Oreochromis niloticus: one gene and its partners. The protein of the gene in region 1 purifies or fractionates together with the protein of each later gene. This does not show direct contact. Links are inferred from orthologs where the notes say so. Each region holds a gene or a part of one and is shown in the gene's direction. Other genes may lie near its edges.

What was found.
Region 2: the proteins of wwp2 (region 1) and ndfip2 purify together in Homo sapiens (affinity purification with western blotting; 3 studies listed by BioGRID and IntAct, with this or other methods). This does not show direct contact. The link is inferred for Oreochromis niloticus from reciprocal best matches to the Homo sapiens genes WWP2 and NDFIP2.
Region 3: the proteins of wwp2 (region 1) and amot purify together in Homo sapiens (affinity purification with mass spectrometry; 3 studies listed by BioGRID and IntAct, counting the BioPlex papers as one, with this or other methods). This does not show direct contact. The link is inferred for Oreochromis niloticus from reciprocal best matches to the Homo sapiens genes WWP2 and AMOT.
Region 4: the proteins of wwp2 (region 1) and polr2m purify together in Homo sapiens (affinity purification with mass spectrometry, with the first as the bait; 3 studies listed by BioGRID). This does not show direct contact. The link is inferred for Oreochromis niloticus from reciprocal best matches to the Homo sapiens genes WWP2 and POLR2M.

The regions. Positions count from the first base shown.
Region 1 is NC_031972.2:4,827,389-4,835,076, forward strand, and holds the start of wwp2 (NEDD4-like E3 ubiquitin-protein ligase WWP2), read left to right. Parts: upstream 1-4,666; 5' UTR 4,667-4,774; intron 4,775-4,854; exon of another isoform or gene 4,855-4,878; intron 4,879-7,572; exon of another isoform or gene 7,573-7,576; intron 7,577-7,688. Other genes in the region: diacylglycerol O-acyltransferase 1, read left to right, coding at 233-274, 376-420, 516-625, 705-770, 858-945, 2,453-2,515, 2,785-2,988. UniProt on the Homo sapiens protein: E3 ubiquitin-protein ligase which accepts ubiquitin from an E2 ubiquitin-conjugating enzyme in the form of a thioester and then directly transfers the ubiquitin to targeted substrates.
Region 2 is NC_031986.2:7,771,858-7,779,576, forward strand, and holds the start of ndfip2 (NEDD4 family-interacting protein 2), read left to right. Parts: upstream 1-4,699; 5' UTR 4,700-4,931; coding exon 4,932-4,958; intron 4,959-7,719. UniProt on the Homo sapiens protein: Activates HECT domain-containing E3 ubiquitin-protein ligases, including ITCH, NEDD4, NEDD4L, SMURF2, WWP1 and WWP2, and consequently modulates the stability of their targets. As a result, may control many cellular processes.
Region 3 is NC_031975.2:392,296-399,793, reverse strand, and holds the start of amot (angiomotin), read left to right. Parts: upstream 1-4,487; 5' UTR 4,488-4,802; intron 4,803-6,839; 5' UTR 6,840-6,901; coding exon 6,902-6,929; intron 6,930-7,498.
Region 4 is NC_031965.2:22,183,085-22,189,924, reverse strand, and holds the start of polr2m (protein GRINL1A), read left to right. Parts: upstream 1-3,825; 5' UTR 3,826-4,049; coding exon 4,050-4,159; intron 4,160-5,714; coding exon 5,715-6,299; intron 6,300-6,455; coding exon 6,456-6,678; intron 6,679-6,840. Other genes in the region: myzap (myocardial zonula adherens protein), read left to right, coding at 18-618.

The DNA.
Region 1 (7,688 bases):
ACCTCGGGAGTTTAGAAAACGGGGTCTTGACTCTTTATCGTGTTCCTCAAAGAGGAACCAAAGAGACATCAGTGCATTTGATTCACCTCTCAGTGATTTTAATGTCCTGTCTATAAATGCGTAAAATCTTCAGCTGGTGTTTCATGGAGTAGGGAGTCATGGAAATCAATGACGATTATCTTCAAGAACCAAGTTGAATTTCATGATTCTTGAATCCTTTGTTTCCTTCTAGTGGATTGAACCCATCTTCCAGAGATCAGAAATCTCATTCTCTGTAAGTGAAACATGATCCTTCTAAAGTGTGCTCATTAAAACAAGGGCAGCTCCCACCCCTGCTGAGTCCACCCTTCTTTCTCGTTGTATACATTTATCCAGAGCATGGCCATCACTACGAGGGTGGAGCATCTCGTGGGACTGGTGGTTAGTGACTTTTTTTGTCCTTGGTCCATGATTCTTAGAGATAAGAGTTTGTATGTGTGACATATTGGCATTGCTAACACATACTTTCTTGTCAGGCACCGACCCACTTCCTCTGGCTCCTCTTCTTCTTTTTGACTCATTCCTACCTGAACTTCTGCGCAGAACTGCTGCGCTTTGGTGATCGCCATTTTTATGGAGACTGGTGGTCAGTTGTACAGAACATTTACTGTAATTTGTGTTAATTTTGCATCTCAGGATCAATGCAGTTTATATTTTATCTACAGGAACGCTACAACTTTGATTGCTTTCTGGAAGAACTGGAATATTCCCTTTCAGAGGTGGTGTCACAGGTATTATCAACATTTTTTGGTCTGTGTGCTTGAATGTTTGACATGGGGTTTTTTTGCTTACATGTTTTTCTTTTTATGCATAAAAAGACACATCTACACTCGTCTGGTGGAGAGGAATGTTTCCCCATCACATGCTGAGTTGCTGGTTTTCCTGATGTCTGCTGCCCTTTGTGAGGTACAGTCCATTCTTCTGACATCTTTGGAAAGGGGCTTTTAATGCTTCCTTAGCTCCTTTGGCACAGGATACATTGCACCATTGCTTATGGCAGCATCTGATTCTTACCTTACTGGTCTACAGTATCATATTTAAGGTGTTAGAGGACCATCATTGCAACCATAGAGCGTAGGGCTTGAACGTCAGGGCCTTGGCTTTATTGAATTTAGTCCCACAAATCTAGTATTTAATAAACGGGGAATCTAGCATAAGTTACAGCAATTTAATAACGTTCAGACTAAGTTTGTGCAGAACTGGCCAGAGACACTGTAAAGGGGAATCAACATCCAGTGGCTACCCCTGCTGGTCATTAACCAGAATGCAGGTTTAAGGGACTTCAGCATTTCTTCCCATTTCCGACCCAGAAGTTACCTCTGAATGATCTCATATACTCCATGATTGCAGGTGACCTTTCAAGGACCAAACATTGACCTTTAGCCCCAGAAACTTTGGTTTGTGTCCCATGTGAAGCTAAAAGTAAATGTGGAACTATTTTAGACTTGCTGAACTCATGTTTTCAGATTTAAAAATATCTGTTTTCACACTTCGGTTAAGTTTTCGCTGTAAAACTATTTCTGGCCTTTAGGATTCTTATGAACTGACTTTACATCAGTGACAGATGCTGAAAGACTTTTATAAAAGGGTGACATTTCTTAGGATTAATATCAATGTTATTTTGTTCTCATTCTGATTGTGCAATATTACTTAACAGTATGTAATTGAATGTTTGTTTCATTCCCCCATCATACGCTGCTACTCTCTTTTTATTCATTGCACAATACTATGTCACTTTTTTTATAATCACCTGCACTGATTGTTATGTTATTTATTTTACTGAAATAGTTATATTGCCATTTTGTTAGAGTTATGTGATATTATATTTGCACTATTCTATTGTATACTACTGTAAATTACTGCATCCTACCATTCTTATTGTATATTATTGTATATCTTTATTCCTCTGTTCCTCTGGTTCTCTTGCTGCATTTAGCATGTGTATGCTCAAGTTCTTCTTATCTTATCTTAACTGAAAATGGATTATCTTCTATACACGAGAAAATGAGCGGACTGTAGGGTTGTGACTGGTGAATGTAAACATTCCAACATTGGTAATTAAGTGAGATTTATGACCATGTTTATAACCTACAAGCTGCACGAAACACACAGAGCAGTCAGTCTGAGATGAGTTTTTGTAGTCCATCAGTGGGACATTGTAGTTTCACCACAGCTGACCCACGTCAGTGACATCCACCGTCACTTTATTAGGTAGTTTGGTTTCTGGAGTGTAGTCAGACTTCACATTTTTTCTTGACTTCATGATTTTTTTCTCCCACTGGGGAAAAGGAAAAGAGATTTGAGATTAGGATTGAACTGCAGCCCACTTCTATGCAATAGAATTAAGCTGGCACCTCTGGATAAACTTACAGCACTAATGAGCTGTGATGGTTCTCTTCTTTCTCCTACACAGTATATGATTGCTCTGCCCCTGCATAGCTGCCGTCTGTGGATCTTCCTCATGATGGTGTTTGAGGTGAGATTATTCCACCAGTGGCAGCAGCAGCTGCTGTGTGGGGATCCAACTTAATCATTCATGGATACATTCTATACCCTTTTATTTAACACTCTATAAACAAATGCAAAAAGGCTTTAAATGGAGACATAGATTACACGGTGAAATCTTAATCCTATTAATTAAACCTGATCCACTTTATTGTTTTTGGCCTTCCACACCTAACACAATGCACTGTGTTGCTATAATCGGGGCATGTCTTGAGCTGACACCATGCCTTCTCTTTGCAGCTCTTGGTTGCGGTATTCCTCCAGAACTATTTCCAGGGAAACTATGGCAACGGTTTAGTGTGGCTGTTCCTGCTGCTGGGCCCTCCTCTAGCTGTGACCACTTACTTTCACGACCACTACGTCAGCCTCCACATTAACCGTCAGCATCGCCCGTCACAGTCGCCACTGACATCAGAGCGGAGAGTTTTCCTGCAGCTTCACTGACTGAGTGAAGGCAGTCTAGCAGATATTCCTACACTTTTGCATTTATGACTGGACTGAGAATTCATCTGTGAGGCAACGCTGCACATGCCTGACGTTCCACTTTAGCAATACATATTATTCTGTGTACACCAAACCTGAGTTATGCTACTATGCATACACATCATGCTGATAATATTGGAATAAATGACTATTTAAGGTTTCTTTATTTAAATTTGTTCATTCATGCTTTCTGAATGTGGACAGCAAAGTGAGGTGGTGACTCAGCTGCAATCAGTTTGTAAAGGTCTTCCTGATGTGACCATTCCTGCTGTAATCAAGGTTGCTGCTAGGACACCGCCACATCAACGTGTGGTTAAGAGGCCTTCATTTATATAAGTTTACCGAATCACAAGAACCACAGACTGCCTTTTCTTATGTGAGTGTGCACAGAATCCAAAGCAGAAAGCGAAGTTCAACAGAAAGTTTATAACTTCCATCATGATACTTGTTATCTCTGACTGAGGTTTTAGGTTTTGTCGAGGCAGCTAACACAAAGATAGACTGGCGCTGTTGAATTTTGTTTGTAGTATACCCCTCTGATTGTTACTTGTTCAGGCTATCATTTTCAAATAAAGCCATCTGAGTTGCTTAGCCTCATCTCATCTCCTTGTCCTAGATCCTAGATGCATATATCAACATTCCCATCAGGTTCCTCTTCTCGGGAGGTTCTGTTGTGGATTAACATTTGCCATCTGAAAGGAATACAGCCTGTTCAACACTAAAATTACCTGCTCACTTGCCGCCTGCTGCTGAAGGACACAGTTACAAATTCCCACTTGCGCAGATACTCACTGCTCCCGTTAGCTGGTTCCCCAGACCTTTCAAATGCACTTACCATCTGTCATGGATGCAAGTGAAAGCAGGTGGACTCAAAGTGCAAACTTAAACAGTACAGGTTTAAACAGTTTGTTAATCAATCAGGATATTTACAGTTGAAGGAGGAGAGTGGGAGTTGGGGTAATGTACAGAAAATAAAATTTTCAAACTTATAACTTTTCATGCAGTTTCAAGATATTATTTTCAATTTTGGGAGACGGTAGATGCCAAAAACAGCTCAAGCTGATTTAATTGTGGTAAAAAAATTGGGTCAAGGTCAAGGTCCCACCAAATGTAAAAATCACTAAAAGCTTTATATTACCCACAATTTGTTAAGGATCGTCTTCAAACTTCATAACAACATACTAGGATGTGGGGGACATGAGTAAGAAGGTTGGCTAAGCATTTGACCTCGAACAAACTTCATATTTTTTCAGTAAGATTAGGGTTTTGTGTCTCCTCCTGGGATCAAACCAGGGATCATTCAGAGCTTAGATAAAGATGTAAACTACATAGAGATACACAAATTTATTAAAAAGTAGGGGTATGCTTTCCTCATGCCATATTTTAATAATTTTTCATGGTTTGTAAGAAAGCAAGAGGCCATAATATATGTATGTATATATATATATATATATATATATATATATATATATATATATATATATATATATATATTCAGCCTGATTCAGCCATGTTCGTTGTATATGAGGCTTTGTACGAAAAATGAAACTTATTGATAAATTCACATTTGTTTGTTTGTTTTTCACTGATTGAAGGTGATTTAAGGTAATTGTGTGGGCTGTTTATTATTGTTTTCGACCCACAATCCTTTGTGCAATGAGAACGCCATACCCTAGGTCACGTGATACTGTCACTGAGGCGGAAATGAAAGTTCACTAGCGATAGCGGCGGAGCACAGCTGAAAAAGGTACGTCCAGGATCACACCTAAGCCTAAACTATATCGTGTCAATACGTGTACCGTGGCCTGAGGAGAACCGTGAGGCTGTGGGCGAGGCTTTAGTTGCTGTCAGGTGATTAGAACGGGTTTTATCCGCATGTCCTTTTATAAAATCCCACCAAGAAGCTCGCTGGCTAGCTATTAGCTTCTTTTAGGTAAACTGGCTGAATTTAGTTGCGTCAAAGCGGAAGTGTGCTGGCTTTCTTTTCGAAATAAATGCGACTAGAGTTCGGCTGAAATATTCAGATTCTTAAAGATCAGTGTATAAATTGTGAGTCTCTAATACTTTTTTGTTTTTCAATAGAAGAAGATCACCTTCGCCAGTTTCATCTTGCTGATAAAAGGATTAATTTGCTGTTTTTTTTCTCCGCACTCTCAACGCAAACAAATTCAAACAAAACGAAACAGGAAATTTTATTTTGAAAACATGACCAGAAGCGTTAGCGTTTTGGTCGTCTGTCGTTGACGGTGATGCATACAAAGCTTGATCACCTTCCGCGTTTGTATTGTGTGCGCAGCAGCCAAAGGTATTTTATACGGCAGCGATAAAAGAGTTTGTCAGGGTCGTTTAAACCTCTCTCGGTTCTTGAGAAGTTCAGACAGCTCACAGCGGCCAAGAAACGCTGCGCAGCCTCCAGCTTCTTTCACAAGGTTGACGGAGGATGCTGTGCGCTTTTTGTTTTGGTAGCTCTCGTCTGTTTATCTGCAGCCTTGAGACAGACCTCAGGTGGATATTCTGGCAATCCAACACCCGGTTAGTCACTCTGACTCAGACCGGGTCACCTCTGGCTGGTTTTTGTCTTGGTTTCGGTTGCAGTGCCTGCAGCATGTCACCTTCAAAATGAGGGTCCCCTCCGCAGAGCAGTGTTAGAATCGGGGTTTTATGTTTAATTTAATTTTAATTCCTTGATGCATAGAGTACAGATCAGTATCAGCACACCTTCAGAGCAGAGTCCAGACTTGCTCTGGATTGTCTTTGCAGTGCTTTAAATTCAGCAGGGTGCTCTGACTTTGCTCAAGGTGATGTTGTTGGGGTTTGATGAAAGTCATGGCTTTTACTTAATATTACAGGGAGAACAACTTCAGGCTTTTAATGTAAATTCATTAGGACAGGCTACTCAGTACACCTTTAATCAGCGTTATATACTTTGTACTCCAGTGTTGTGATAAGTAGTTAGTGTCTTACAGATCACACTCAGAGAGTGTATAAAATAGTTCAGACAAGCTCCAACTTGGGGTAGGTAATCTCGCCTATAAATAATATAGTGATTCACCCTTTAATTTCCTGAGTGTTGTTAAAGCCCTTGCAATCTGCATGTACATGAAAACAATCCGGTTTAGTTACAATAGTGAAACAAGGTTTGTAATCACACCAGGGGAAGTGAACATTACTACAGCATCCATGAATTGTGCAAAAATGTGCCTGTAAAAGCTGTTCATTCATGTTGATGATGTGAGAGGACTCCTTAGTGTAGCCTGGGTCTGTGGATCTTCCCTCCTGATGTCTGAGTTCATATGTACTGTATTTAAATACAGCTGAATTCCCAGTGAATGTGCTGTGATTTAGTGTTTCTGGCAGTGTGATCAGAGAGGAGAACAAGTATGTGCACACGTGTTAACCAGCAAGAATCTACCTGTCTCACTCTATATTATTTTTGCATGCATGGGCCTTTTGTATAGTTTTAAAGTGTCTCATGGCTTCTGCCAGAATATAGCAGAATATAGTGTCCTACTGATTTCTGTTTGTGGCATGGAGGGGAATCTGTGTGTGTGTGTGTGTGTGTGTGTGTGCGTGTGCGTGTGCTTGCAAAAAGCAGTTTCCCTAATTCTAATTTTTTCAGTACCTTGTCAAAAATAAATAACAGAGGGATCAAATAGGCTGCCTCAATTGAGATCCACCTCCACTATCTTGGACTGGAGCTGGAGACGGCAGGCCCTGTTTGCTCTGTACGCTTGGTGAGCTATAGGGTGTAGCTTGTGGTTAAAGTGGCTCTTCAGCAGATCTTTACAGCAGTAGAACTACCTTTGCCAGGTGGAGTCCAGGAGAGAGCAGCAGACCATCCAGCTGTAGCGAGAGATCCTTTTTGTGGGAACAGCTGAATGGCAGTGAAGTCTGAGCCAGTTAGTGGGGGAAGCATCATATTAGAAAATGCTGAAACAAGTCGGTGTGTATACTTGGGTGGTCATTAAAATATCTGAGCTGACTGCTGAGTTAAGTATCTGTAATGTCTGTTTTTGAGTGTTTTAATGTGACCATAAAAATAAAATAAAGTCACATAACTAAAGCAACAAAATAAGCTTTTTGCTGTGTTAAGAGAAGGTGGATATTTGGCTGTAGGGAGTCATTGAGTCCCACTTATGACTTGGATCTAACGCCACAGTTTTTAAAGTAAACATCGGGCTCATTGGCCTTAATGTTTGCACAGCTGCTTTGAAACAAACTCCATTTGGATGTTTTCTTCCAGATGTTTTGGCATAAATTGTCGTGTCTTGAGGAAAAACACCCGTTACTATCATCACCTGGTACCTGTTGCTGTGGGTGGAAGAACTCCACCTGTATTCTGCTGCTTCCTGTTTATCATGTGTCTCTCTCTGCTGCTGGTGAAAGTGGTGATACGACCTCTCCAGTCATTTAAAAGACTCAGAGTTCCCTTCTGTTAGTGGAAATTTTGTAACTGTGGAGTTATAAGTGATGCGTGATTGCATGTCATGATGTTTTGCCCCGTTGAATTAGGTTAGCCCAGCAAGCTTTCTCTCTAATGCTGCAAAAGGTGTTTAGGCAACGTCACTTATCAGTCCCCTGGAGTGAGTGTTTAAGGACTGGAGGTGCAGTGTGGTGGGAGTTTTATGCTTTTCTGTCTGAAGGAGGGGTTATGTTATGCT
Region 2 (7,719 bases), on another chromosome or scaffold:
TGTGGCACAACAGCAGGAAGCGTGTGAATTATTGTTAATTACTATTCATGCCCATAAATCTCAATCTGTACCTGGGAGAACTGCATGCTTCTGTCTGAAGTAAGGAAACAATAATAAACAATGTTGGTCATTGCCACAATCAGCACCAAAGAAATGCACAATGTTTCTTTTAGACTGGTGAGTTCATGCAAATGCCAGGTCGGAGCAATGGCTTCTCAGCTGTCATCGAGCTTAGGTGGGGTACATGCAGGACAGGTCGCCAGTCCTTCCCTGTTATCCTCAATTAACTTACAATACATGCCTCTGCAGGAAGCATGTGAAAGAAAATTAAGGCCACTAAAAGAAAAAAACAGGGTGACCGTAACTGGTTTTTTTTTTTCATAGTTCTTAGATTGAACCATTTTCTTCTGCTTCTTACAGTCAAAATTCTCTACAAACTCAGATGCCAGCCCACTAGGAGGTTGAAATTCAGTACTTTCAGTCAGTGAAGCAACACTGAGCCAAGAGCACTAACCCCTGCACCGCCATCCCCCTACTCTCACACCAAACACTGCCTTTTGTGTCTTACAACCAGGATGGGCAAAAAATACTAGAAATTTCTGGTCAAACATTGCCCCCAGGTGGTGAAATTTCAAAACACCATTACCTACAATACCTTTAAAGTAAGTCAAATACCAGCCTGGGCTCACCTTCTAGAGCCGATCATCCACTAATCCGAAGGTTGGTGGTTCAACCCCTGCCTGGGCCAGTCTGGATACCAAGATACTGAATCCCAAGTTGCTCCTAATAAGCATCAGAGTGTGAATATTAGACAGATGGAACTTAGGTGCAGAAAATAGTGCTTGGGTGAATGAGGGAAGTTGTATACAGCTCTCTGAGTATTCAGGTAAAAAAGCTCTATATCAAAACCAGAACTGTATTGTCATTATTCTCAGTACTTTTACCAAAGTTAGCTCCACATGTCAGAGCAGTGAATTGCTAAAGTGTGGAGTGGTGCAAAGGTACTGCACACAATACTAGAAGAGCTACAGTATTAACAGAAATTCACTTTGAAATTACTTTAAGTATCTGCAAATTATTAAGTATCTGCAGTTACATATATAAATGTATTTATTTCTATAAAAATGAATTCAGTCCAGTAATAAGAGGTGGTTAGTTTGTGATATTACTCATTACTGTGACCCAAATTTACTCCTCTTGTTTTGAACTTTATGTACAAGTGCAAGTGGGTCACACATCGGTCTTAACAAATTAAGGCTTATAATTTGGCCTTAGCAAGTTACAGGCAACAGTCTGTGTTGTTCATATTTTTTTAAACCACATTTTCAAGGAAATACATCACTCTCTCTTGTTTGTTGGTTAAATTGAAGATTTATGATTGGGTGGGCCCTAAAGGTGGGCAGATCGATCCAAATGGCATCAATACCAACGTTGGTATTGGTATCGGAATGATAGTAGCACGATAGGACTGATACTTTGTTTCTATCCTCTGAGGTTAGTAAGTAGCCCACTAAATTGTCTGAATCTCTTTGTGTTCATTGTCATGTCTATTTTATTAATAACCTACTGCACATTTTAAAGCACAGAAGTTTAATGGAGAGTCCTTGCTTAAATGCACCTCGGGAGTTTTAGCTGTGGCTTTAACAGTGGTTTTACACCTACAGGAATGTATCTTCTCTCCTACTTGGCAAGTTTAGATAACACAATTTTAAATTGTTGTTTGAGTCGTCTTTTAGATTCCCTCCCACACAAACACACCCCACAACCCTGTAAATAACTTTCATTCCGTTCCTCACATGAAATATGCTCAAGAATTATGAACAATTCTTCTCACAGTGCATACATCGTATTTGGAAGTATATTAAAACCTTCCTCTATTGCCACTTCTCCACACATAAAATGCAAATTCAGCCCCAAATGCACGGCAGCTTGGCAATTAAATTGCCGCTTGTATCCTCGTGAAACTAAACAGATGTCTTCCCCCTGTAATGCACGATTCCATCAGCGTCTAACAAAGCGCTCACCTCCAGTGAAACAGCAAAGCTTTCACAGGCATGAGAATGAGTCTGCCACGCTGAAAAGCTGCAGTATCTGACAGAGACGCCCACTGTTTCTTTATATAACACCTTTTTATAGCACCTATTTACCTTGAAATGATGTTGCCAAGTAACAACATCCCAACTGTGCAGTGGCGGTGGGGATGGTGGTGTGTGGGTAGGTGTGGGTGTGTGTCAGTGATGGATGTCCTGAAGGGCTGTTATTGACTCTAAAAGTGGGGTTCTAACAGCGTGCTGGGCGAATGAATTCCAGTGTTTTTCGCTCTCATGCAGGTCTGCTGCTGCAGTAAAGGTGCAGACAGGAACTCATCCATCACTGCTGCAAGTTCAATCCTTAATGCTGCTAATCGCCTTGCATGGGGCCCAAACCTCTATGATGCTTCTACCCCGACCCCCCCCCCCTTTTTTTTTTTTTTCCTTTTTCACAAGTTTCTCCAACCTCTCCCACTCCCTCCATCCCCTTTCTCTCTCAGCATGAGCCGCTTAACTGATACATGTACTACAGTAATCCCTCTTCTTAGTGAATGGGATTAATATTTAATTCAAGAAGAGCCTTTTATCAATACCTCCCCGTGCCTTCTTTGTTCGCTCTGTTTAACCTTGTTTTTGCTTTTTTTTTTGGCAAATCCAGCAATGATGTATTAATGCAACAGATCAGAGCAGATGTAGTGATGTGGAGTTCAGTGCAGCAGAGCCAGTCACTTTGGTTAAAAAATGATACGTGTGGAGGGAAAATGCACGTATAGCAGTTTGGAGAGGGGAAAAAAATCTATTATCAATGCATCAAAAGAGCATTTCCTCAGTGCTCTGTTTTAATGATTCCTTCTGGTCTGTTAGGCTTCGACAAGAGACCAAGCTACTGCTTTTAATTCACCCTGCAACAGTATCTGAAGCTGTTTGTGCTTTATCCTTGAAACTCCAGCACTTGCATTGATAGAGGTATCAACCAGAGCCTGTTATGCACTGATCCAATCCAATGCTGATCCAGGATTAGCCGGGGAGGCGAGACCACATGACGGAGTAAACTTGAGAATGGAGGTAAAGAGTTTACCCCGCCTCCCCTCTGATCATATCCACACACATATATTTTAACATGATTTTTGATGGTGGGGATAGTGGAATGTTTCTTTTAGACAGTGAGCTGTCTAAATGCACTCCCATCCTGGAGCAAAGAGGGTGAAATCTATCTGAGGTTGCTCTCTGTGTGTGTTTGATAGTGTTTTGCAGTACTGCAAATTTTGGTATCAATCCAATACCAAGTAAGTACAGAGTCAGTAATGCCAATACCAATACCGATATTTATGTAGTCTATGTAGGGGAGACCAGTGTGTCATGATTGATGAAATGACTCACCAATAACAATAATTTATTTAACACAATTCAGTGTGTTAAACGTAGAAGATTGAAACAAAGTATCGCTCCTATCGCTCCAGTATCAATGCAATACCAATACCAGAGATGATATCTATATTATTGATAGGGGTGCTTGATAGCTCAGGACCTGCTTATTTGTGTTAAACAAGGAGGGATCTCACTTCTTAAGCTGCAGCAATGAAGTTTCCAGGGTTTTTGGTGAAAATGAATAACGATCTTATTTTATGTTCACCTTGTTTTTAGTCATGCAACAGGATGGTGTTGGTGGCTGATAGTGTGAGAACGTAGGCCTTGAGCTGCGATTGTTTTGTCAAGCCTGGAATCCTCATTTCCACATATTCAGCGCTTCCAAGGCATTCGTCTCACTACCGAAGGCCAGGTTTTCACTGCACTGCAACGTGAGTTATGGCAATGAGTTGGGAATCTCACCCAAGCCGATAGGCTTACTGCCAAAATCTTCCCCTTGACCCTGTTCTGCTGACAACTTCAATCATTAACTTCAGAAAAATGTAAAATGTAAAGCACTGCCAGAGACTTGTGTTTTTGTAAAATGCAATCCATACTTCTCTGATAAACAGAGGCATGTGAGATTCTTTTTTATGGATGGAAATGGGCCGTTGTGGTTCAGAGATATAAGAGGACTTTGGCTCCACCTAGTGGTTTCTCTCGTCAAATTTATTTATTTATTTTTGTATTTGCGTCATCACCCTTTCTCAATCCTTGGAAATCTGAGATCAACCCACCGAGGAAGGACTCAATTGGTCGAACGACAATTGGAACAAGAGGAAGTCGCCTTCAAAATAAAGCGTCTAGCGAGCGCTGACGGTGGTCTGAAATGGTACAGAAAAGTAAAAATAGAACAGCCATCTTAAAACGTTATGAACTGAATAACGTTAAAAGACAGTAACACATCACATTCACAGGAATTTCCAACAGATTAACTACCTAACAATTCGGATAGAATTGGTTTCGGATAGAAACAGAGTGTATTAGATATTAATATTATATTAATTTTACCTTTTTTTATACTTAGAATGAAAATATAATGCTAATATATGGTTGTTATCAATAATGATAACAGTAATAATAATAATAATAATAATGATAATAACTCTAAAGCTTAGGTGTAAACGTAAGGTAAATTAGATAAGTAGAAGATCATATATGCATTGATGAATACAACAACGACAACAACAACGTAATAATAACATTAATGCGCAATACCGATTATATACATTTTATTTTGAAATTTGTAACCGGAAGTGTGACATCTTTAGACTAGCTTGAAAGTGGGTGAAGGTTTTTACACAGAACGGTATTTTTCTGTGAATGCATTGTAGGTTGTAGCCATTTCTTTCATCGCTCAGAATCCGGTTCTTCAGCGTTGTTTCTGGAACCAACATCTCTTGTCCGTGACTCACACATCGGAGTAAACCCAAGTCTTATTTTTTTGATAGTTCTCACCGGCTGGCTCGTTTAGCCAGCTGAACCTTGTCGAAGATGGACCCAGCGAGCCGATACCAAGTGGTGAGTGGAAGCTGATCAAAACACCGTTTGATAGCTCGGCCTGCCACCCGTCACAGGCACCAGGCCCTTGCCAAAAAAATTAATGCTTATTGTTTGTATTGACTATTTAAAATGCGTTATGTGGGACAGACAAAAAGCCGCAAAAAAAGCAAACTTTCACAACTGTTGTGTTTTACTTCGTTTTTCCCCTAAATTAGTTTTGCTATGGTACCCAGCCTTTGATTAGCCACTTCCGTGGCCAGCTAACGCTGGCCAGCCAAGACTAGTCGCGAAGGCCGTTTAAGTGAAAATGCTTTTAACAGCGTTACACACATAAAATACACTCTCTAACTTGTAGTTACATGTGGACATTCAAACAGAGGTGTAGTTACACAGTTTTTGGCAGCATAAATTCTGAGAAGCTTAGCTGTAAGTTAAGTGGTTAGCATAGGGGTTTATTAGCTGGCTCATATTAAATGTGGTAAGAGGGCCTCTTTTTTTCCCCTCTGGTTGTATTTTTTTAAAGATGAATTTCCGGCTTAAACCGCAGCTTAAAGGGCTGGTACGAATCAAGAGAAAAGAATGACGGTGACAAATAAGTGTTAACGAACTAATTTTTTAGAAATATGACTTATATTATGTCTTCGCAGAATCATAAAATGATATAGTAATGCAGGGAAAAACTAATGCTACTACTGTTAGTCAAAGACATTAATGGATGCCAGCCTCAGAGTATGGCTTATTTGGTTGAACTGGCCTAAGCATGTGGAGTTTGTTCCTTCTGTTAATGTATTGTAACAGCAGTGTTGGTAAAACTTTGGAGTCAGCTATGAACCTTGGGAGATAAAGTATGCTTTGTGCCTTGTTGTTCTGGTATTATGGCTGATAATCCCACAGGATTCGGTATGAGCCAAGGCAAATCAGCAATGTCCTTTTAAACTTTTCAGCCCTGAACAAAGCAGCGATTCACACCAAGTTCCGTTTTTCTTTTTGGTTTTTTTTTTGGAAACTCTAGCACAATACAGTGGATTCTCAAGGATGGCTTGGATATAGCCAAACAGATGAGTTATCTGATATTGTGGTTTGTGAAAACAAACAAAAAAATATACTAATAAAAAACCCAGTGTTCATCACAGTATGCCTACACTGTCATCTCTTGCTCTGTTTCCTTTCTAAATAATACTACAGGTATGGGGCACTGCTGCTGTGAGGTTCGGGTGTATTTGGACACATGAGGAGGCTTGTGGCTATGTTGTTAAGATCTTATGTAATCCCCTGTGCATGCGCGGGGGTGCAGTTATGCTTTGTCCTTGATTCTGAGCCAGTCGTCGGCCGCTCATTCACTTCCCTGCCTTGTATGCTGACCCAGCGCTGGTGGAAGTTCAAAAGTCGGTTGGGACGGCCAAGATCTTAGTTTTTCAGAAGTCTATCGGTGTGGTAAACCAACAGATTTCACTGTGACTGTGCTTCTTAAAGAAGCTATTTAGATTTGTTAGTCACCTCTGGCTTTTCAACTTGCGTGATATCATTACTTATCACAAAGGGTGTTTCCCCTGTTTGTCGAGGTGTTTTACCACTGTTCGAAAACCACCATTACTTCATGGAAAAGGTTTCAAATGGTAGATTCACCTTTCAAAAACATCATTTTAAGCAGATTATCAGAATTGTGGAATGCAGTCCTACTGACGCAGAGTCAAAATGAGTTTCAAATGAAAACTTGCATAGCTTCAAGCGTCACAAGGCAACTAAAGTTTGCCGCCTTTTTTTTCCTTCCAACTTTTTACATATAAAGCAATCATTTTGTTAATCAGGATTTTTTTTTTTCAGTACAATAATCATGAAGTGAAAATCATGACATGCTGGGTTTTTAATTTTTTTTTAAACCTTTACAATCCTAAAGCAAAAATCTGATATCGGCACATGCTTAGTCAATATTTTCAGTTGATAAATCTGACATGTAATGAAGCTGAATGTCAAACCCAAACTGCCTCAAGCTTTGCAGTGACATCAAATCAGTCTGCTCTTGCTAACTGTAAACTTGGTGAATGTATCTGGCTCAAACATTAGAGGCAAGCATGTTGTACTCCCTATTAGATCAACACAAGTCAGCAGAACAGCATACCAATTCACCCAACTAAAGGTATCACTGTAACTGTTCACTGGTGATTGTGATCATTTAAAATTAAATTCAAGATTGTGTCAATCACACAGATCATAATCTCATCAATAATTGTACTTTTTGTAAGCTGAGTCTTCAACATCATACTTTTGTATGTTGAGTTCAATTTAAGTTGTTGAAAAGACAGCACGCAGTATACTACATTTGTGTTTGGGGGTTTTTTTTTCTTTGTTTTTTGCATGGCTCATCATATCCTCATATGCTCATCATTAAATCCACTGGTGCATGGTGTCGTTTCAGGCGGGTGATGTGCCTCTCGAGTTTGTTTGCAGGTTGAAAACACGAGTTGACCATTGTGGTGATTTTTACCACCATTTAAATGATCTATGAGTACAGAAGCATATACAGAGAAATGTTGCAAGTTTGTCTTTCTGAGGAAAATCTTTAAAAAGAAAGCTTGCAATTTCTTCACTTCTTGGTTTTCACTTCTCTTATATCATCGCTGGTGTTGAGGTTTTCTCTGAGTGGGAGCACCTGTTGTTCAGGACACTACTGTAGTGTATATTCGTGCCCTAAGAGCTGGTATAAAAGATACAGAACTGTGGTGACGTCACCAATGACGTGCAAAATGACCAGTGCAAATATATGGGACCCTTCGATTGC
Region 3 (7,498 bases), on another chromosome or scaffold:
CTCTCTCCCTCTCTGTTCCTCTCTCTCTCTCTCTCCCTCTCTGTTCCTCTCTCTCTCCCTCTCTGTTCCTCTCTCTCCCTCTCTGTTCCCTCTCTCTCTCTCTCCTCTCTGTTCCTCTCTCTCTCTCTCTGTTCCTCTCTCTCTCTCTCTCTCTCCCTCTCTGTTCCTCTCTCTCTCCCTCTCTGTTCCTCTCTCTTTTTTCTCTCTCTCTCTCTCTCCCTCTCTGTTCCTCTCTCTCTCCCTCTCTGTTCCTCTCTCTCTCCCTCTCTGTTCCTCTCTCTCTCTCTCTCTCCCTCTCTGTTCCTCTCTCTCTCCCTCTCTGTTCCTCTCTCTCTCTCTCTCTCCCTCTCTGTTCCTCTCTCTCTCCCTCTCTGTTCCTCTCTCTCCCTCTCTGTTCCCCTCTCTCTCTCTCTCCCTCTCTGTTCCTCTCTCTCTCTCTCTCTGTTCCTCTCTCTCTCTCTCTCTCTCCCTCTCTGTTCCTCTCTCTCTCTCTCTCTCCCTCTCTGTTCCTCTCTCTCTCCCTCTCTGTTCCTCTCTCTCTCTCTCTCTCCCTCTCTGTTCCTCTCTCTCTCCCTCTCTGTTCCTCTCTCTCTCTCTCTCTCTCCCTCTCTGTTCCTCTCTCTCTCCCTCTCTGCTCCTCTCTCTCCCTCTTTGTGCTGACAATCAAGCCAAACACCAACATCATCAAATATACAGTGGAAACCAGATATTTACACACTCTGCAGATAAAAACACAAACACTTTAATTGTAACATCAAATCAGACTAAATGATTATTTTTTTTAGATTGATAAATATAAAAAACATATTTGTTAACTTTTGTATTTTGTATTCAAAACTGAGCCACACTTATGGAGCTCCACAGTTCTTTTCCTGGTGTTTTGGTTGACATGTCTTGATTTTCCCATGTCAAAGAAACAGGCTCTGTGTTTTGCCTTATATGCATCCACAGGTGTGCCACCAATTTACTCACATGGACTCTACTAACCAATCAGAAGCTTCTTAAGCTCAGAATGGAATTGTCTGGAGTTTCCTTATTAATTAACAATAAACTTAGTGTATATACTCCTAAATTTGATGAAAGTGATTAAAATAGACAGCTCCCTCTTTTTATTCTGACATTTAACTAATTCAAAAGATATTTCAACATTTATTTATCTAAAACAAAACAAGTTTACTCTAAATTGATGTTTAACAGTAACAAAAAAAGTTTATGTTTTCTCCCTAAAGTGTAAATATCTGGTTTCATCTGTGAATATACTGCTGTGTATTGAAATTCCTCTTGTCTTGCATAGATATACTAAACAACATACAAAGCATAATATATAAAATAACATCTACCTGAGTTTTTTCTTTAAAAGAAGCTCCTTATGTCCATTCTTGTGTTCATCAGTACACAATTGAAACCGATTTAGAGAGTTTGTTTAGCCGTGGAGGGTAAGAACTGAAAATATGAAATGTAAGCTAAGACTTTCTAAAAAATCAGCACTGTCGTTCGGCATTTTATTTATCCATTTGTTGATTCACTCAAAGAGCAAATAACGCAGTAATATCGGTTTGATATCAATCTTTTGTGATACACCGTCATATTTACATTATTTGTACAGTACGAATGATTTGTTTTGGTACCTGGTCAAACTTAAGCTCTCCTCTGTCTGCAGCAAACTTGCAGGCAGCAGCTTCTCCCCCCTCGCTCACATGGGTGCTGTGCTCAGTCGCCTAGTGCCTGAGCTCGGATCATACCAAAATTAGGGGGAATTTACGACGGTGCGCTCTGTGCTTCGTGTGTTGTTTTTGTTTTATACAGTTGTCAGTCAGGCATCTAACTAATAAATTACACTCCAAAAGACCCCATGCTTCTGAAAAAATGACTCGAGACCAAGACCGGTCTCGAGACATCCAACTCTACTGTTTATAAGGTTGGGGAAACCTGCGGTCAGCTGAGCCTGAAGAAGTCACCTGGGTGAGTGATGAAATGTTTCTCCCACTGAAAACATCCAGATGAACAGAATCAACTTTTTGCTTACCTAGATGATTGAGCATGCATCAACACACTCATTTGTTATCTTGGCTGTGTGGTTAGGAACGTTGTCCTGTTAGAAGATGAACCTTTGTTCCAGTCTGCGATCCATAGAGCTCTGGACACATAACTGCATTCATCTTTCCCTCGACCCTGACTACTCTATCAGTTTCTCAGTTCCCTCTGCTGAAAAACATCCCCACAGCATGATGCTTCCACCACCGTGCTTCACTGTAACGATTTTATTGGCAGGCAATGAGTGGTGCCATGATGCTTGGCATTCAGGCCAAAGAGTTCAACCTTTGTTTCATCAGACCAGAGAATTGTGTTTCTCGTGGTCTGAGAATCCTTTAGGTGCTTTCTGGGAAACTCCAGGTGAGCTGTCACCTTCCACTGAGGAGTGGCCTCAGTCTGACCATTCTACCATACAGGCCTGATTGGTGGAGTGCTGCAGAAATGGTTGGACTTCTGGAAGGTTCTCTGTCCACAGAGCAACACTGGAGCTCTGTCCGAGTGACCATCAGGTTCTTGGACACCTCCAGCTCTAGGTAGAGTCCTGGTGGCTCCAAATATCTCCCATCTATGCATGATGGAGTCCACTGTACTCATTGTACTTCAGTGCTGCAGAATCTTTTCGTACCCTTCTCCAGACCTGTGCCTCAATACAATCCTGTCACTGAGGTCTACATACAGTTCCTTGGATTTAATGGCTCGGTTGGTGCTCTGACACCTGTCCATAGTTTGGACCTTACAGAGACAGGTGTGTACTTTCCAGATCATGTCCAGTAAACTGAATTTACCACAGGTGGACTCCAATCAAGTTGTAGACACATCTGACAGATGAACAGTGGAAACAGGAAGCACCTTAGCTCAGTTTTGAATGTCACGACAAAGGCTGTGAGTGCATGTAATGTTTTTGTTCTTTATTTTTAAGAAATTTGCAAGAACATCAAAGTCTTTTTTTAACTTGTCATTTTGTGTGTAGAATTTGAAGTGAGAAATGAATTTAATGTTTGAATTAAGCTGTAACATGAAAATATGAGGAAACGCTGTGAATCCTTTCTGGATGCACTGTAACTTGTTTCTGTGAATGATTGTTGTTGTTCTCTGTCAAAGCCATGCAGTCTGCTGATGCACTGTTGTTGTCTGACCCCTTTGCAAAGACAAATTAAAACCTCAGAGTGACAACCTGTTTGTGCAGATTCATTTATGTCAAATTTCCATAACATGGTATGGGGCATTTTAAAATGTTTAGTAAACCAAAAAAGTGGTCCTCATAAGATAAGTACGAAAATATTCAATATAATATGTGTATGATATACAGAAGCTGGTTCATTGGAAATAACTGTTAAATGAGTGTGATCCGGTCAGCCTGTGAGGACCCCTGCTTAACCAGCTTCTCTTTAATCCCACTAGCATGGCTAAATCTGTGGTAGCCTAGCTTATAGCATCAACTTGACTAAATATGTTCATTCCTCCTGATGTTGACTGCGGTTGGTGAACATGTGTGTGTGTTAGCCAAGACACGGGGAGAGAATGTGTGATGTTGCGTTTGTCCCATTACAACACAGTGATATGGGTCCAAGAAAAGATCTGCACTGGGCGCTAATAGCTAATTCAAATGTAATAGAGTTGAATAAAGCAGCGCCACCTTCTGGTGAAGATGGCCTACATGTACTGACCTATATAAAGATACAGTGCAGATGTCACAGAGCCCACTCTGGTCAGAAATCCTGCAGCCGTAAACTGACTTCACAGAAATGACCAAGAAGCTGAATGGCAGATGGCAAAGCTAAAATGCCAGTAAGTGAAAAGAAGTAATGTAAAAAAAATGAAAATCACATGATGAAGAAGCAGCCCTGAAGCCCACCATAGAACTGTGGAGCAGTGGTTAGCACTGTTAGCTCACAGCAACAGGGATCCTGGGCCTCTCTCTGTATACAGCACTTGTTTAATGATTGATAGTAACGCATTATTATCGTCACAGGGTCGAGGCAGGGCTTGAAACAGATGGTGCTAAATGACTGTATGTGGATTTGGGCTAAATGACGTGAAGCAAAACCAACATATGTGCACCTTCTCACGAAATTCCGACAGCACTTAAATGTAGCAGAGCTCCGCTGGGACGGACAAAGCCCTCTTTGTCACTTCTTCCCCTTTTTCAGCTTTTTCACTTGAGCCTCTGATTGTGCCGGGAGTGTCCCAGTGAGCACATTTAAACTTTTATCTTTAAACTGTGCTCGTTAAAACACCAAGTCGCCATCCTAAACAGCCATTTCAAATAATAATAAACTAACACTTGATCGTGTTTCATGACACACTTCGGGCGCAGAGTTGAGCTTTTAACTTTTTCCTGCTGGTTAGACCTTTGTTAGAGCCCAGTCTGGAGAGCAGGAGAGAGAAGGAGGGATTTCCCTGTTCCAAAAACTTTTTCATCCAGTTTCCATTAAGGAGGGGGAGGGAGGATGGACATTCCTCTCATACTGAGGCCAGGCGGTGTGTGTGGGGGGGGGAGGAAGGGGGTGCTTCCTGCTACTTCTCATGTACCGCTTCTTTCTTTACTCTCAACATGGAAAAAGACTCCTTGGCCTCGAACAAACTCTTTTTCCCGGTGAAAGAATAAAAAGCCCACGGTGACGTCCAAGATGGAGCGGCTGCAGCAGCGCGTTTCGTAACTTCAGGAGGGTCGGTGCGTGCCGAGGAGACACGACAGATCAGCAGGAACCGAACAAAAGAATGTTTCATTGGAATCAGGGGCTCGGAAAGTAAACCAAGTTCTTCAGGTAAATCATTTACGTGTGTGTGCGCACATTAACCGGATGCTCCGCTTATCTTTGTCAAACTGTTTTAGTCCTGCTGTTGTCATTTTACGACACACAAAACTAAACGGCTGAGAAAAAAAGACTTTCAGCTCGTCGTTCGTAAAGCTTAGATTGGCTTCGGACTCAGTCATGTGTGCTTTGAATTAACTTCAATAATCAGTGCCAATTCACTGACAGCGTGACGTGTAGGTGGGTGTAGCCTTTACTGCATCCTGGCCTTATCAGCAGGATAAGTTAGCTCTGTATGACATTTGAATGTGAACGTGGGGTCCTTGGAGTGGGTCCAGTCTGAAGTGGATGACACAACAGTTGTTTTGCATTCACAGCGTTGTACTGTCAATGATCACATGCGCACAGTAATCTGCTTATGTGACATTTGTACCTCAGAGTGAGTAACAGTGCAGTGAACAAAAACTAAACTGTAAATCTAAACTTTAACTGACCAGATAAACAAGAAAACTCACTCTATGGCTTTTTGCATAGTAAAATTTTAATTGGGAAATCCATCCATCCATCCATTCATTCATTTTCCCAACTGTTTATCCAAATTGGGCACGCCTTGTCCCACGAGCCTGCCCCAACCCTTACAGGGGGTTCGGCATTTCCACATAGCATCATCGCTTTAGTTTCTCTGTTGACACACACAGACTAAATTCTGATAATTGCCATTTAATTTAAGACTAAACAAGATTGAGTTTAATGATGAAGATTAATTTGTATTTGTAAAATATTTGAAATTGTAGCTTTTAAATGAGCTTGAATTGCCATTAATCACAGAGACTAGGACAGGGGTGTCCAACTCCAGGCCTCGAGGGCCGGTGTCCTGCAGGTTTTAGATGTGTCCTTGATCCATCACAGCTGATTTAAATTGCTAAGTGACCCCCTGAACATGTCTTGAAGTTCTCCAGAGATAATGAACTAATCATTTGATTCAGGTGTGCTGACCCAGGGTGAGATCTAAAACCTGCAGGACACCGGCCCTCGAGGCCTACAGCTACAGTTGGACACCCCTGGAATAGAAGGTGTAGCTGTACAGTCACTGGTCCTTTCTTTTGATTTGAAGATATTTGTTAACAGCACTCTTCAAAGAAAGACATTTGCTGCTCCAAAATTTGGAGTTCAGCTTGAGGTCAAAGGGGGAGTCCATCCGAATGTCTAATGTTAGGGTAAGAGTTCCTTTAACTGAAGGGGCCGGGCCCAGCTCCTGTAAAACAACCTCGCACCGTGATCCTCGCTCCACCAAACTTTACACTTGGCACAGTGCAGTCACACAAGCATTGTTCCCAAGTGTAACACTGAACTGGCAACTAGCAGAAGTAGTGAAGGTAGATGACTTTAATCCCTGGGGTTGGGAGGTCAGAGGTAGAGACTAGCAGCCGGGTGGTTTTGTGACGGAAGGATCGCAGCTCAGGAAAAGGGAGGATTTACAAAATGGTGTTTAGATCAAAAAGATGGGAGATGGAGCTGTTCAAGTTTTCACTGCGAGTGAGCAGGATGGACAGGACAGAGCTCGGGCTGAGATGGTTTGGACGAGAGCGGCAGCTTATGATTATTTTAGTAAACAAGTATTCCATTTCTTTTTCGAGTAATCGGATAAGACATAGTTTTGTTTTAATAATCAGCAGTAGTAAATAAAAAAAAAATACAGGTCCTTTAAAATAAACTCCTAATTGGTTTTCATGCTAGAAATGTCAGTGTTCTTCATAGTTTAACTAAATAGAAACTAAAGGAAGTGAACCCGCAATTGTATTTACACACATAAAAGAAAGAATTCTGAGAATGAAATGTAGACATGAGGTCACAGGTCAAATGTTTGGATGCAATGTTGGATGTGATATTTGGAATTCCCATATAAATGTTACCAATCCAACCAGAGGCACTGGAATTTAAAGCATAGTTTTAAAGTTAAAAGACATTTTATGAAGGTTTGATCTTATTTGACCTTAAAGAAGAGGTCAGAGGTCACATTGTAATGTAACTCCTGTATCTTTACTGTAGAATTGAGTAAACCAAACAGTGGTGGATGGGAGAAGCTCAAAGGTTTGCTGATCAGTGGTTTGATGGAGCACCCAGCTTTTCCCTGTAAAGGTCTGAATGGTTATGACAGTAAGAAGCACTGCTAGAAAAATGTTTTCACTCCACCAGAGCTCGTTCTTGTGGTAATGGTTACGACTTTTTTCTCCTAATCGTTTGTGTGTAGACAAACTTCGTGTTAAACTGTGACGTTTATTTTCACTACTGCTGTTGTTTTATCAGCCGTAGCAGCCAGTTTGCTAACATGTCAACAGTTTGCTAATTGACCGGGATCATAGTCTGACTTACAGCTGGTAACCCTAACCCCCACATACAGTTTACCCCTGTTATCCTTTGTTATCCTAGTGCTAACCAGGCCTGACCCTGCTTAGCTTCCAAGATCAGAAAAGGCTGGCTCCAACTTTTAATGTGCTATAACTTGTTTTCACCAGCCACATATCCCAGTATGTACTGCACCCGTGTGTTGTACCTGATTCTTGAATATTGTATCTCACAGTTTAAATATCTGCGGTTGCTTTAGCATCATTCTGCTTGCTTCTTTCATTTTATGTGTCATGAACAATCTGCACTGATCTTGAGTAACATCTGCAACATGAACGACTGACACTTAGCACTCTTCTCTT
Region 4 (6,840 bases), on another chromosome or scaffold:
TGACTGTGCTTCTGCAGACATGAAGCACAGAGGTTTGATGTTGAGCCTGTTCAGTGTGAACCAACTCATCTCTATCCCATCCAACCCCCATCACCTGATCATCCTCTATCACCTGTGAAACTCCCATCACCCACTGAACTACTGTCACCCACACAGCCTTTATCACCCACTCATCCTCTATCACTTAGACCAAACCCTTCCTCCATAGCGCCCTCATCCCTGGCACAACCCTCATCATCACCTCCCATTCAACATCCATCGCTCTCCCTAACACTGCCCACTCAGCCAAGGACGTTTAAGCTTAATAACCCTCCCCCCAGCAGGCTAGAGTCAAGTTTACTAAGGTACACTCCTGTCCAGTACAGCCGCTTCCTGGATTCCAACCCCACACAGGAGCGTGGGACATTCTCCTACATCCACCCATCTGAGTCTGAAGCTGGTGTCAGTCCGGTCCAGCCTGGAGGAGACGAGCTGGACGCACAAACAAGCAGAGGCACATGCTCCATACCAGAGGAGTCCACTTCATCCCCACCTTCTTCTCGACCACGATCAGGAGTGCGAGTTTATACACCGTTCATGAAACTAATGGAAATGACAGCAAAGATAAACATAGAGTAAAGTTAAAGGAGCAGTCCTGGAAAATACATGAGCCCAGACTTAATCAAGGAGAGTCAATGAAACTATGAAGCCATTTAGCTTAGTATAATTACTGAAAACAGGGTAAACAAGTAACGCACAAACTTCTTTTTATAAGCAATAAAAACAGCCTGAAAACGGGAAATTAGAGTAAAAACAACATTTTATCAAACTGGGAGAGGAAAAAAACCTGGAAATGAATAGAAACTCATGGAAGTCATTGTCCCCAGTTACGAACTAGTTTGATCCAGATTCCCTGTCAGATGGTGGCTTCGTTTCCATGTGGATGACAACACGAGTTAACAGTTTAATTACTTTTCTTTAAACTTGTTGACAGATGGATTTTATTTTCTCTTTCCTCTATTTTTTTGTATCAGTGCTAAGTACAGAGCTAATCTGTATATCAACAGTAAATATGTAGCTAAAGCTAAATAATAGTATCCTCTAACTCAGTCTATGTGTGCTGAGAAAGAGACAAGCGTATTAAAAAACTGGTTGGAGTAGTGCAGTAGTAACATCTTTTATTATTCTCTTACTTGACCTTAACGTTTGCATACTATACTACCATAAAATTTTTGACAGCAAATTGTAAAAAATAACAGTCTTAAAAACAAATTTTGATAATGTAATATGATAACATTACTCTGTGTTGGTATAACATAGAGTAACATTAACTTTAGGATTAAAAGTGAAAACGCAGTGACGTAAAGTCAGGTAAGCCATTAAAACATCAGCTAGTGTGCTTCAAGAATACCACTGACTCACTATGCAAGAAATAATAGTATGTAAATAAACTACGTGGACAGAACTACCAACCTAGCTGCACATTACTCACGTTTTGATATCCCCGTGTTGATGATGTCCCTATATCATCATAATAATGGTGATCCAGCATCAACATTACACCTGACCAATGACAAAGGAGCATTTAGTTAGCCGAGCATTAGCTTAGAATTTGGCTAATGCCTAGCTAATGCTTGTTAATGCCAGTTAGCTAACAGCCAACCTAACTTGATAATGTATTTATTACATTGCATAACTTTATAAAGAAAATATTTAATAAAACACAAAGTGATTGGTCAGTTGCAATGTTGATCCTGGACCAACATTATTATGATAATGCAGGGACAACAGGAACACTGGGATAACAGACACAACACACAGCACACCTACAGGAGCTGCTCTGCCATGTAAACCCATGCAACAGTAGCATTAAAGTGTGCTCTTTGGAACAACCAATTCTTTGTACATGCAGACTGCCTGGCCAGGTATTTGACTTTATACACCTGAATTCAAGTATTAATAAGAATGGCCCAATATTTATGTCCATGTAGTGAATATAAGAGGGTTACTTATGCAATCAGAGCCGTTAATCTTAACTAGACCAAAGTGTGGAATTTTCCCCTTAAACTTCGATTGTCTTTGGTCTAATTTTCACAAATATCCCTTTAAAAATGTACTAACACAAGAATCTGTTTTACATAATTTTAAAGCTGGCACATCCATGTCAGTAATATCTCACTTATTTATGTCGGAGATAATGATTTTTGGCCAGTGAAGCAAAAAAGTCTTATGTGGGTTTCTGTCCCATGTTTGCACATAGCTCTAATAATAACAAAAGTAGCTTGCTGTAGGATGTAAATGATGTGATGCTATGTAAAAAATATTTTTCTAACTGATATAATATGGAATATATTTCTTCCGTTTACAGTGAATCTGTTCTATTCATGTTGCTCACTGAGCTATGAGCATTCAGTCCTATATGAAGGTCGATATGGTTATTGTGTGTATTTTCCTATCATTTTATATGTGCTCTGTACAAATTAAACATATGATATTTTGTTACTGTTGATAATATAATATTTATTATTATGGTTTGTGCCTTTGTGACAACCTACTCTGTGGTCCTGGTGGTGGAAGGAAAGCTATTTTAATTGGAAGCAGGGTAATATGGCAAAATAGGACGTGGCAAATTCTTGAGAAATCTGTTATTAACGATATTAACTTTAATAAGGTGACTGCCGTTCCTGAGCCACTGGCACAAGTGTTATCCAGGTGTCATCTGTACTGCCACAGCTGTGTTTGAAATAGTTTTATGATGTGCCTTTTCCTCGTTGATACATATAATACTGCGATTAACGATGAGAGGCCAGCATCTGTTTGGATAATAAAGACTGTGCAAATGATCCTGAATGTGTCACAAGATGGCTGCACTTACAAGAAAGAGTCTTTTAAAATCGGTTTGTATTTCTTTTATTTAGTCACACACTTTTATATAAACATGCATGAATGGCATGAATGTGTGTCTACAGTGTAATTCTAGGGCTTTTTATGATTGCATGTGCACATATCTTTAAATTATCAATTTGTAGTTGCTGCAAGTTATTCACTGCATAATGAGCTGTGCATTGAGTAATCAAAATGAGCCATGATATTTGCCCACACCAGTCATGATCAGGAATGTGGAGCTGATATAACAAGAGCTACAACAAAAGAATAATTTACAGGTTAGTGCTATGAAGGGCTGAAAGAAGTAAAAAAAAATCTTTGATTTTCAGCTGAGATGTCCGTGCATCCATATGTGTGAAACTGCATGAGGACAGCAAGACTTTGGTGACAGAGAGAAGCTGAGGGATGAAGAAGAAATTAAACATTTTGGAGGATTAGGGCAGGACTAAAATAATAAAACTTAATGCTTACTTTGATTACAACTGATTAATAAGGATAAGCGTGAAAAAAGAAGCATTTCTCTTTTTGACAGTATCTGGGATACTTGAGAAATAGGTCTTGGAATAATACATTCTGGAAAAATGGGAAACTTTAAACTTTGACTTAGAGTCTGAACTCTAAAGGTAAAGTCAGAGACTTTGTTCCAACTGTACAGCTGCAACCAAAACTGACTTTGAACTTTGACACAGGCTGGAGAGGACACAGCTGTGTTTGGGTCATTCATTGTCAGTTGAGCTGAGTGAGAAGTGGATCGGAAAACATCCGGACAGGAAATGCAGCTGTGGAAAATCTGAGACACCAGCCCAGTCCAGACTCTGTACTAATCGCACTGCTAAGAGAGAAAGCTCTTGCATCCAGGCTGGTTACCACGTTTGACCGGCAGAGGGCAGCAAATAAGCCTCACAGTCTTTACAGGGAAGAGGTGTGTTACCGTGTCCCGTTCAGTGGGGGCGATAGAGGGCTATTTTTTTCACACAGGAAGAAGAAGAAGGGTCCCACTTTGAAATGTTGTGTCATGTGTTGAAGAAGTGAATTAGTCACTTAAGGAGTTTTCTGAAGCTCTCTAATAATAAAGGAATCAATCAACCGGTAGATTTACCGTAAACCTTCGTGTTTACGGTGAAGTTTAAAGCGGGCTCGTGCTGTTGTGGATGGCTGTAGCTAGCTTACTTTAGCTAACAGTGATGTCCTCGTCGTGGACAGAGCGCCAGGGAGAGGTGGGAGACCTGGGACACCTGAGTAAAGAAGAACTACAGGAACTGCTACTCCGACAAGAAAGGATACTCAGTAACAAGTAAGTTTAATCCTTAGGTTGTATGAGAGAAACGTGACACTTATGCGCACGGCCATCCCGTTAGCTTTGATCCGGTTTGATAAAGTGACTTCTCTGTGTTCAGGAATATGCACTGAAACTAAGACAGAGGATCTACTGACAACGTGTTTATATCAGTCCACTTTGGCTCAGGTGAAAATATGAAATGCTTTTGTAAAAAACGATGCACAGGCGACACTACTCTGCTGTAACACGGGGTAAAAAACAAAACAAACACACACCACTCTCGGTCACTTTGTTAGGTACACCTGTAAAACTCGTTGTCAAGGTATCACGTGACAGCAACACGGTGCATTTTGGCCTGTAGACATGGTCAACAGCACCTGCTGAAGTTCGGTTTACAGATAATGATCCAAAAAAGATAAAATATCCAGTAAGCGACAGTTCACTGGGTGAAAATGTCTTATTGTTGCCAGAGAAGAATGGCCAGTGTATTTTGAGCTGATAGGAAGGAAAATAACTACTCCTGACAACCAAGGTATGCAGAAGAACATCTCTGAAGGCGCAAATGTCCAACCTTCAAGCAGACAGGCTACAACAGCAGAAGACCACACTGGGTGACACTCTTATTAACTAAGAACAGAAAATTGAGACTTTACTTAGTACAGGCTTATTAATAAAAGACTGGAAACATGCTGTCTTGTCTGTAAAATTTCAGTTTCTGCTGCGATCAGACATTGGCTTAAACATGAAAGCCTGGATGCATCCTGCTTTGTATGAACAGTTAAGGGAGCTAGTTGTGGAAACAATAATGATGATAATGTTAGGGACATTTTCATGACACACTTTAGGCACCTTAGCACCAGTTGAGCATCATTTAAACTCTGTAGCCTACCAGGGTATTGTCGGTGACCATTTCCATACTTTTATGACCCATCTTCTGATGGCTGTTTCTTGTAGAATAATACATCATGTCATGGAGCTCAAATCATTTCAAAGTGGTTTCTTGAACATGACAGTAAGCTCACTGTACTCAAATGGCCCCACAGCAAGTTTGTGTTATAGTTAACTAAAACTAGATGTAAAAAAACCGAAACATTTTATTTAACTAAAATAAAAATGTGGGGCTGTTTTCTAAACACGGGTGCAGTCATTTCAGAATAAGGTGCAAAAAAAATTTTTTTTTTCAGATCTAAATATGTAGTTTGTAGTAAAACACATGTTGCTGGCGTTGGTAAATCAGATTTTATGCTTTATTTAAATTTTCTACTCCCTATATTTCACACCTTGACAAAGAAACTCTTTTTTAAATACTTTTTTTAAATGCCAAAACCCAGTTGTGCTGGTGCAACATGCTGGTAAATCTGGCTTTAGATCATCATCACTGCATTAGTATCAGCTTTGACTGCCATTATCAACAATTAAGAGGAAAACATGGCATGTAAGACTTTTTCTTATTTGGGGTCAGGGAGGGGTTACAGACGTGTATGTGTCTGACATTTAGTGTGGCTCTGGTTGTGTATCGAAATATTGTTTGTAGAATATTTTTGCAATGATACGTTTGTGTTGTTTGCAGGAGGTTATTGCAGACTCTACCTGACAAAGGGAAAAAGATAAAAGACTTTGCAGATAAAGTGCGTCTTGCCATTGATGATCACAGTGAGGAGGAGAGGAGACGAAGCCTAGTGTCTGTTGCGAGGACAGAGTTACAGTCCAAGTACCAGCAGGCTTTTGCTCACCGGCGTGCTGCCTCCATCACACCAGCAGCCTCACATCAAAACAGGCAAAATGAGGCTGCTGCACAGGAGAGCGAGACCTCACCTGCCTCAGCGCAAGTGCAACAAAACCACACTTTGGACGAGCAACGAGAGTCGTTTGTCTCCGGAGCGACTGCTGTGGAAACCATGGAAACGGCAGCTCGTGGGGCCTCTGTGAACTCTGATGAAACAAAAGAGGGTGACCTTGTGGAGGCCCTGGAAAGGGTCACGGTGTCTGGAACTACTACTGGTGGCAGCAGCGAATCCAAAGAGCCATTAAACAGCAGTGCAAGAGACAATTACTTTCTCAGAAAGCAACCACCAAAGAAGCCTCACTATATAACTGTCCTGGAAAAAACAGAGAAGTCTGCAGCTCCCAGGAAGCAAAAATTTAAACCAAATCAGTGAGTGGACTTTATTTACTACTTCCTGAACATTTCCAACAAAAATGCTCCAATAATCCAGATTTTATTCAGTAAGACGTTTGACATAGTTCTGCCTTTTTGTCCTCTGTGTAAGTTAGCTGAGTGTAAATAATATGCACCTTAATGTGTTTCCAGGCTGCCTCATAGAAGTGACGTCTCTCCATCAGGATCCTCGTCACCCAGTCAGTCCTCCGAAGGCTCATCGCCACTGTCTGCGCAAGCCAGGAGGGAGCGGGACAGAAAACACCTGGATGACATCACTGCTGCCAAACTCCCCCCTCTCCATCACAATCCAGCCCAGCTCCTATCTCTGGAGGAGTCAGCCGCACTGCTGAAGGAGCAAACCAAGAAACAGCTGGTTAGTGAGGCCGAGTGCCTTTCTAAGGAGGCTAAACAGGCTGGGTGGAAACAGCCAGTGCCTCACTAGATCACTTAGCAATATGGTTCAACCAAAGCTGTTCTGAATGTCTCCTTTTATACAAGAAATACATTTTTAATACACATAAGTTATATGTAATAT